2 linked regions of the Caenorhabditis elegans genome follow. The protein of the gene in region 2 interacts with the protein of the main gene of each other region in a pairwise test. Each region holds a gene or a part of one and is shown on either strand. Other genes may lie near its edges. The genes, in order: ife-1 and pgl-1.

Region 1 (3,577 bases), on a different chromosome or scaffold from region 2:
TGGCAACCACGTTTCCTGAAATTAGAGGTTTTCTTTAAATCATTCTAAAAATAAAATCTTTCTACCAAAGATGACATGATCGACGGCATCTGCTCCAACATTAGCGTGCTTCAGCGCTGCTTGAGAAGCGACGACTCCCAAATCAGTTGCACTCAATCCTTTCAGCTTTCCACCAAAAGTTCCGAATGCTGTACGCTTGGCACCGACGATGAACACACCTGCAGACATAATATAAACATCACTGATCACTTATTAGTACAACGACCATGGACTTTGACCCCCACTCACATTTTCCTGCCATTTTGCAGTGTATTTGTGTGGTTCTGTAAATAAAAACGTTCTTATAAGTAGTAACAAATTATTAGGAAGAGGTGAAAAAACCTAAAAAAAAGGGCATTTAGAAAACTGCATAATTATTTTGAGAGGGGCTTTTGAACAAAAATAAAGTTTTTCGGTTGTTTGTTGGGCCGATAAGATAGGTAGAGAAGAGACGCAGAGACGAAAAAGAAGCAGAATGGCCGACTTTCGCGGTGTCTTTTTTATCATCATTCCCGCTACTTGTTCTCTGACCTAAAGGCTACATTCTACACTACAATAAGATACAAAATTGGGCCTGGAAACCACAAGGCAATATAATACAATTAATTTTCATCAATTTTATTAAACCAATCACAAAACAACGAGTGAAATACTAGCCAAGCAACGGGTGTAATTAAAAAACAAGTAGAGCAGATACAAAATGGTCTGCTTTAGACGGCGGATTTCTCGGCGACTGGAGCATCGGACGAGTGCAATGAAAGCTTGGCTTTCACAACCGAGCTGGTCTTCTTCTGGCAGCTCTCATGATCTTCGTAGCGGATCACATCGAACAGTGGCTTTGAGTGGTCCTTGGATGCGGCCATCAGCTTCTCCTTCAGCACAACTCTGAAATTCCAAAATTCAAGATAGAATTAAAAATAGACATGCATACCCAATCCTCATGTTGGTTTCATCATCGTTGCAATCCTTAGTCCAGACGCTGATCTTCGATCCTTTTCCTCTGACGTTGCACACCAACCCACAAATCGACTCCATGTCCTTTCCGAATTGCTCGCCGACCAAAGCCATGAGAATCTCCAGCCAAATAGCATCGACCATTTCGGGAGTCTTTCCCTTGTCAATGACGATGAGCCAGCGTCCTCCGTTCGAGTTTTCCGGAACCTCCCACATCGGCTGAATATCGTCACGGAAAACGTTGTAATCGCACAACGCGTTGAGGCCACTTGGTGGACGGATAGCATCGTAGAGAGCCCAGAACTCCGAGACGGTGTTGAAGGTGTACACCTTCTTCAGACGATCCTCCCAAGACTTGTTGCGCTCATCGTTCAAATACCACCACGTCCAGTTACGCTTCAGCGGATAAATGGGTGCCGTCGTTTGCTCCGTTTCAGTCATACCTGGAAGAACTCGATTAGTAAAATCAGTAAACAGAGAGAATAAATGAATGCAAATAAAAATGGGCACGTGGAACCAAAAAAGTGATGCAAAACGGCGAGAAACAGTTTTTTTGTGAATAATTTATAGTACTCAAACGATAATGAAAAAGGGAATGGCTCACCTTCTTTCTCCCCAGAGATTTTCAGCTTCTCAAATGCTATTTCAGAATCTGACATTTGCGCTTAAAATTTTCGCACCTCGACAACTGGCAAGGCAAAAACAGGACTGATCTGAGAAGCCGAGAACAACTGGGGAAAACGCCAACTAATCGTGCCCTAAATGACGTGCCATTGAAATATGGAGCGGGTCAGTAAAAAAATTCACGGGGAAAATAGGAAATGGTGGAATATAGTACAACAATTTTAAAAAGAGATTTAGAAATTATCGATGATGAATCAAGGTAAATACACAAATGAAGAAATAAAATGAGAACCCGTAGAAAAAAAAAGCGAAGAAAAACAATCTAGTTGTCGTAGTCATCGTCGGTTGGAGCCAAAGAGCCCTCTGATGGTCCTCCAAACATTTGTGCGTTTGCGGCTGCTACCGCCGCGGCTTGTGCTTGTTGGTGAGCAAGCTGCTGCTCAATTTCTTGTTGGCGTGCCTGTAAAATAAATATTAACATTGAGGAAATGAGTGTTTGTTTTATAAAAACAAAATTATTTTTGAAAACCTCAAAAAATTACCTTCTGAATTAATTCTTGTTGCATTTCGTACAATTTTTCCTCTGGAATACCACATTTTTCAAGACGAGAGTTCTTCCTTCGCAGCTTCTTCTCGGCTTCAACCTTGCAGGCATCGAGAACACTGTCGGCGGCCTCGAGATAATCTGGTGTGAATCCTAAATTCTGCAGTGCCTTCTGAACATGTTCGTGATATATTGTTTTTCTCTGATCCTGGCTCGCAATTCGTTGTGCTTCTCTCGCAATATGCTTCACGAACTCAACGCAGCAAGCATTGATCATATCTCTCGACTCGTTGGCGATTCGCATTTCAGGAACAACTTCTTTGATAATTTGGTTGATACCTTTCTGTGGAAGTCCGATTTCATTGTCCTCATCCATATCTGTGAAGAGTCTGAAAATTGTGTTGAAGCACTGCATTTTTAAGGGATCTAAAAGAGATATAAGGAATGAGAAATACATTATTAAAAGTTTAAAGATGAAATAAAATTAATATCAAACTGAGTACATTTATGCGAATATAAATATAATATTTTCGGAACAAATCTCACAAAATTCACAGAATTATCCAATTTTAGCATTGCTGAAGTCCATTTCAGGATGCTGTTTCATGAACTGTTGCAGCATATCATGCTTTTTCTTCTCATCAGACGTTGGAAGACCCATCTCCTTCTGCCTCTGATCATACATCATCTTTTCGACCATGGCACGTGTCTCTCCATCCAAGTCGCTCAATTTCGAGTTCTCTGGCTTCACTTCCTTAGTATTGATTGGAGGATCGGAATCAAGGAATCGATTCCACCATTCCATATCATTGATCTTCTCGAGAGTTAGGACAATCGCTTTCCCGTTTTCGATTACCCAGTTGCAATTTTCTACTTTAATGGCGTGAGGCAACTTTCCATCGACAATCGGAGCTTGATTCTTCAGGCCGACAGATACTGAAGTCTTCTCTATTTTGACGACAACGTCACGAGATTTGATAGCAAATCCAGCAGCAATTGGAATCTTCACCTCGAGTTCTTGGAGTGTTTGAGTCCATTGATATTTGGCAAGATCCGCACCATTTCCACTATTTGGTTTCATGAGCTTACTGTCCTCATCTTCGACTTCAGCGTCTTTCGATGTTTCTCCTTCGTTATCGACGAATTTTTCAAGATTTTCAACAGAATTTTTAGCCTGTTCCTTTTCAAACGCGGCCGCTTCCTCATCAGTGACTTCCACGACTTTCGCATTTCGGAACTCTTCCTCTTCCTTAGCTTTTTGTGCAGCTCTTCGTTCAGCAAGCTTCCTCTCCTGCTCTTCCTTCCGTTTCTTGGCTTCTTCAGCTTCCTTCATAGCCTTTCCACCGTGTTTATCGAATTTTTCGAGGAGAAGGGTCCGGGCTTGATCGACACCAGCGCCACTGTAGAAATCCGTCT
Region 2 (5,290 bases):
TGCCCCTCGGAGACGTTCCGAAAATTAGTATTGCACACCCTATTAGTCTTGCACTCTCTAGTAGTCTTGCGTTAACTTTTTTGTATTGCAAACCCGTCTCGCTAATTTTAGGATTTCAACATTTTTTTGCCTATTTTGCAACAGTTTTCACATCATTTCTACGAGATCGAAGTTTTTGAACTTATATGAAAATCAAATTTTCTGAATTTTTACATATGATTCGAGCTTTTTCAGGAAAAAACTAGTAAGCTCAAAGTCAGAAAATGCTCTGAAAATTAGTATTGCACTCCCTAATAGTCTTGCATTCCCTATTAGTATTGCAAGCGGGAAGACCATCGAAAAATAGTATTGCAGCCATATTAATAGAAGAAATACGGTATTTGTTATGTTCGAATGCAGATGTCTCATAACGATTTACAACTCTAATATGCGTAAATGTATGATAAGATCAGTTGAAATTGTATAAGAATGCATGCAGTGCCACCTGTTAATTTTATGATCCACCAATCATTCGGCACCGTCGATTCAGACATCACTTTTCTCATCAAGCCGCAGAAAGAGATATACGTGTAATTAATTGAGTTAATTTCTTGCAACAATCTAGTTCAAACATTTACCGGGAACAAGGAAAAACAGGTTGAATAAATAATAAATGACAGTCAAGGTTTTAGGGATTTTACAACAAGATTGTTAGAATAAATAATGTGCGTAAAACGTGTAAGTATACAAGAAGTGTATACTTAAAAAACAAATTAAACATTCAATAGTTGGAGTTTAGAAACCTCCGCGTCCACCACGACCCCCGTAACCACCACGTCCACGATCTCCGCCGTATCCACCTCGTCCTCCGCGGTCTCCCCCGCCGTATCCACCTCTACCTCCACGATCTCCGCCGTATCCACCTCTGCCTCCACGGTCTCCACCGCCATATCCTCCGCGACCACCTCCTCCTCCATAAGCTGAACTGGTGGGAGCAAATTGACCGAATCCTTTTGCAACTTTGGCTTCCCCAAATCCACTGACTTTGTATTGATTAGTCGGGGCAGGAAGAGGCATTGGAGTAGCGTCGCCTGACCCCCATGCAGTTTCAGCACGAGCTTGTGGTTGTGGTGTAGAATCTTTGTCAGCAACTGTGGTTTCCTCTTCATCTATCTGCTGCATGCCCTGAAAGAAATATTTTTATAATTCTGAAACGATGAACGCGATACCGGTGGCAGAGCTACTGATTTCGTTGGAGAATCCCAGCCATCGGTGGAAAAACTTGGCGCTACTTCTGGCGAAGCACTTGAAGAAGTATCTTGATTGGCATCCGAAGCCATCTCGATCTCGTTAACTGTTTGCTGTTGTTGTGCATCGTTAACCTTTTCTGGGACAGGATCGACCGCTTTTACAGTAACACCTTCTCCAATGTTTCTTGATGAGCTTAGCAAAGTCGAAGAATCCACTTCGTCACAAGAAATCTCCTGAAGACTGAGTGAATCCTTTGAATCGACAAGTAACCCGGAAGAATTGGTATCACTGAGACCGTTGAGAACTTGAGCTTTAGTATTTACGCTGTATGTGTTGTGAACCGTCGTCATTTCCTCTTTCGTGTAGGCGGAATCCTGCTGTTGGGAAGTGGATGGTTGCACATTGCTCTTTCTGCCACTTGGTGTATCGGACAAACAACACTTCTCCAGTGATTCAACAATTCGAGTGACATGAGTCTTCGAGTTGATTCCTTGAACAAATTCTGAAATTAAAAAGTTAACAGGAGATAAAAAAAGGAATATTCACTCTTGAAGCTATCGACGAGAAGATTTTTTGAAGTGGAATCCAAGAAACGAAGCTCGCCCAGCGCTTCAGTCTCATTCTCGGATCCGTAAAACTCTGTAAGCCACAGTGCAAACTGTAGAGCTTTATTCACATTATCGATCACCGCATCATTGTTTAGTGGACTCTGAGGAATCTGAAAAACGGTCATGTAAGTAATGTTTATAGAATCATTAACTCACCAGTGGAACGGGCTTATCGAAGCATTGCTCTAGAATTGAGACTTGGAACTTCTTGATAAGTTCCGCAATGGCTCGTCTTTTCCAGGCGCTCTCCAAGTCTTTCGCGACTCCAACAACATCCCAATCCTCAAAAGACTTCTTAGCTGAAATATTTAGATTTTAAAAGTAAACAAAGACGAAAATACTAACATCCTAAAAGAACTTGGATGATGTGATTGCCGAGGAACACCGCACTCTTGTAGACACTTCTTTGCAATCCTGGAAAGACTTCCGCTCTGACACTCGTAGGAATCCCAGAGAGGATTTTCTTGGAAACCTCGCGCTTTCCATCTGCAAGTGAACGAACGATAAGGAAAAAGAGCTGATATCCGAGTTGAGATCTCAAGACAAGTGACTCGTCTCCTTCATTTTTACTCGCTTCCTCGAAAAGTTGAGCGATATGGTTCACAACTTTCCCAACAGACTCTTCGAGTGGATCCATGAGGAGACTAATGAATGGATCGGCAGGTTCAGATTTCGGACCATCCAACCTAAATTGAAAAAAAAAATCGAATTATTTTGAAAAGGACAACAATTACATCAACTGTTTCAACAACGGCTTGCAGCTATCAAATGCGTTGACGACGTTATCACGGATAATGTCGACCTCGTCGCTAGTCTCCTCAGAGATAAGTCCGAGGATTTTAGTTAGGACATAAACATCAAAGTCCAGATCCAGTTGGCTGACAAGTTCCGTGAGCTCAACAAACTTTTCGGCGGCATCATCGATTGCGATTACTTTGAGAAGAGCTTGAAGAATCTTAGCGTCTTCAGTCTTCTTCAGCTTGGCCTTACGGGCGAGCATTCCGAGCTTCTTGTCGTCATCGATGACAGAAACCAGATCATGAGCATGTCCCAATCCTGACAATTTCTCAGCAGCAGCATCAAATTTCGGACGCTAAAACGTTATAATTGATTACAATAAGTTTAATTCACACTTACAAATTTATCTCCGAGAAGAAGACAAACGTCCATGCCAGCAGCAATAACGGCAGCGTTAGCGTCGTTCGGCAAGATCATCTCCAAAATGTCTTCGTCTCCAGGAGCGTCTTTGGAAGCTCCCAACACGAAAGCAGCCAACTTATTGGCCTGAAATTGAATAATAGAAAATCGGTCTTTAAATATTATAGTCCAACCTGAGATGTATTGTTGAACAGTTCTTCGTCATTCTTCGTGATGTAGTGGGCCAAATTTGGGAAAAAGTAGGATCTCAGCCCACCGAAATCCACAATTTCTCGCTTGTTAGCCTCCATGTGAAATGGATGAAACTGAAATAAATATTTAAATTTTTAAAAAATTTTTCGAGATTAGAATTCAAAAAAACGCAAAATTTACCCAAAAAAGTAAGAAAACGGAAAAGAAAATTGGGACGAGATCGAAATTGCAACTTCCGCGTTCGCGTCGAGTTGTTCGTTTCGAGACCCGTAGATCTGAAACTTCCATGCGCCTTTAATAATTTCTAAGTTTCTGAACTATTTCCAGATTTATTTTACCTATTTTCTAGTTTTTTTTTTCAAATCAAAATATGTTTAATCAATGCGGGGTTTTATAATTAAATAATATGTTTAACTTGTTATAGATTTTATAGATATTATTTTTTAAACATTTTAATTTGTTTCACGATGATATTTCAGTAATTGTAGGTTTGCGATGGCGACGAAAGAGCAGATTGTTGAGCACCGCGAGTCTGAAATTCCTATAGCCAGCCAGTGGAAGGCCACGTTTCCCGTTGATCTAGAGATTGAAAAAAATTCTGAAATGTTTGCGCTTCGCTACATAAAATGTGCTTCGGCCTTCATTCTCGATCGCCGTGGCATTTTGGACGAAAAATGCTTCAAAACTCGAACAATAGGTATGGCTTATTTTACAATGTATCACAAATATTTTTATACAGATAAACTGTTGGTCACCGCATTCCAGAGCAGTGTTCCTGCCGCAAAGCGTGTGTCTTCAACATTCGACGGATTGAGAGATGCGATTCAACAAGGCTATTTGCGAGAGTTCGCAATCGTGTTCTACAAGAAGCCAAACGAGGAAGACATTAATGAAGTGTTTGCGTTCAGGTTTGCTTATGGAGATGAAGGAGAGATTTTCGTATCTCTAAATAAGTAAGCTGCTGGTCTTATTCAATTATTCGTTTTCAATTGTTTTCAGCGGAATCGACACGAACGAAAGCAGTCAAGAACTGTTACAGGCGAAATTCGTTGATACCGACAACACGAAACAAATGTTTGCAAGCACAATCAAGAAACTTCACCGGTGTATCAAGAAAATGGAGCCGCTTCCTCAAGGGTCCGACGCGAGTTTCCGTGTTTCGTACACTGAAAGTAGGTTACATTCACAGCTTTAGTCTATTTCTAACTGTTATTTTAAGAAGCTCCAAAAGACTATACACCCGAAGGCTATCTGCTGAGTCCTATGTTCTATACGCTGAATCAGGATATTAGGAAAGCATCTATTGGAATCGTGTGTGGCGGTCATCACAAAATTCAAATGCTTGCTGCTTCACAATACTTGAAGCAAGACTTCGATCTGGATAAAACGACCACACTCAATCCAAATATGTCAATCATGGCAAACCAATCGAAAAGGAAGGGACGAATTTCCAGAGATTCCCCTTACGGTCTCAGTCAGGGCATTACGAAGAAGAATAAGGACTAGTCGAAAAGTTTTCACTCATGTGCAATGTTTCTCTTGTTTTATATTTTTAGCCATTGTTTTTATAATTTCATTGATTGTCGTGCTTTTGTCTTCTCTTGTGTGATATCAATCTATCTTCTTCACGTATAGTTTCATCTGTTTGATTGAGTTATTTTTCTTTCACTGTAAGTCTGGTGTTTCGTAGATTTAGAAAAAAGTAGCGTAATAAATTATTTTGAAATGGACCAAACATTCAAATCCAGTTCAGATAAATTTATTTCATTGAAGCAGTGTTGGAATTCGGACAAATGAGAAGTGAATATTCATTTGAAATAAGTTTTACATTACTTGCACTGTTGGCTGGGTGTTAAAAATAGGTTCAATATTGAATTAATAAAATGGGACAATTCACCGTGCAGAAAAAAACGAAGGAAAAGGCTTAAAATTGAAGAAGAAGTATAAAAGAATCACATGGGCTTTTCAGGAATTCAGTAAATGTTTGGACAAGTATATCAAGATACTGTACATCTGGAACTTTTCTTTTTCTTTGCCATTCGAACACCGCCTCCCGACATCATCATTGGTTCATTTTTCTTTGATTTACGACTGGAAGACTT

Evidence for each region.
Region 1: the proteins of pgl-1 (region 2) and ife-1 interact in a two-hybrid assay, tested with the Caenorhabditis elegans proteins (3 studies listed by BioGRID).

The regions. Positions count from the first base shown.
Region 1 is NC_003281.10:13,341,683-13,345,259, reverse strand, and holds ife-1 (eIF-4F 25 kDa subunit), read right to left. Parts: upstream 1,844-3,577; 5' UTR 1,653-1,843; coding exon 1,598-1,652; exon of another isoform or gene 1,548-1,597; intron 1,437-1,547; coding exon 971-1,436; intron 925-970; coding exon 750-924; 3' UTR 642-749; downstream 1-641. Other genes in the region: acaa-2 (3-ketoacyl-CoA thiolase, mitochondrial), read right to left, coding at 1-15, 66-218, 289-301; dro-1 (Protein Dr1), read right to left, coding at 1,940-2,077, 2,160-2,576; nud-1 (Nuclear migration protein nudC), read right to left, coding at 2,721-3,577. UniProt on the Caenorhabditis elegans protein: Recognizes and binds the 7-methylguanosine-containing mRNA cap during an early step in the initiation of protein synthesis and facilitates ribosome binding by inducing the unwinding of the mRNAs secondary structures.
Region 2 is NC_003282.8:6,973,843-6,979,132, forward strand, and holds pgl-1 (Guanyl-specific ribonuclease pgl-1), read right to left. Parts: upstream 3,477-5,290; coding exon 3,369-3,476; intron 3,302-3,368; coding exon 3,170-3,301; intron 3,123-3,169; coding exon 2,976-3,122; intron 2,932-2,975; coding exon 2,573-2,931; intron 2,525-2,572; coding exon 2,184-2,524; intron 2,138-2,183; coding exon 1,995-2,137; intron 1,949-1,994; coding exon 1,777-1,948; intron 1,733-1,776; coding exon 1,209-1,732; intron 1,165-1,208; coding exon 775-1,164; downstream 1-774. Other genes in the region: him-3 (HORMA domain-containing protein), read left to right, coding at 3,684-3,885, 3,928-4,141, 4,188-4,360, 4,408-4,694; prkl-1 (LIM zinc-binding domain-containing protein), read right to left, coding at 5,186-5,290. UniProt on the Caenorhabditis elegans protein: Guanyl-specific endoribonuclease which cleaves the phosphodiester bond in single-stranded RNA between the 3'-guanylic residue and the 5'-OH residue of adjacent nucleotide, resulting in the formation of a corresponding 2',3'-cyclic phosphate intermediate.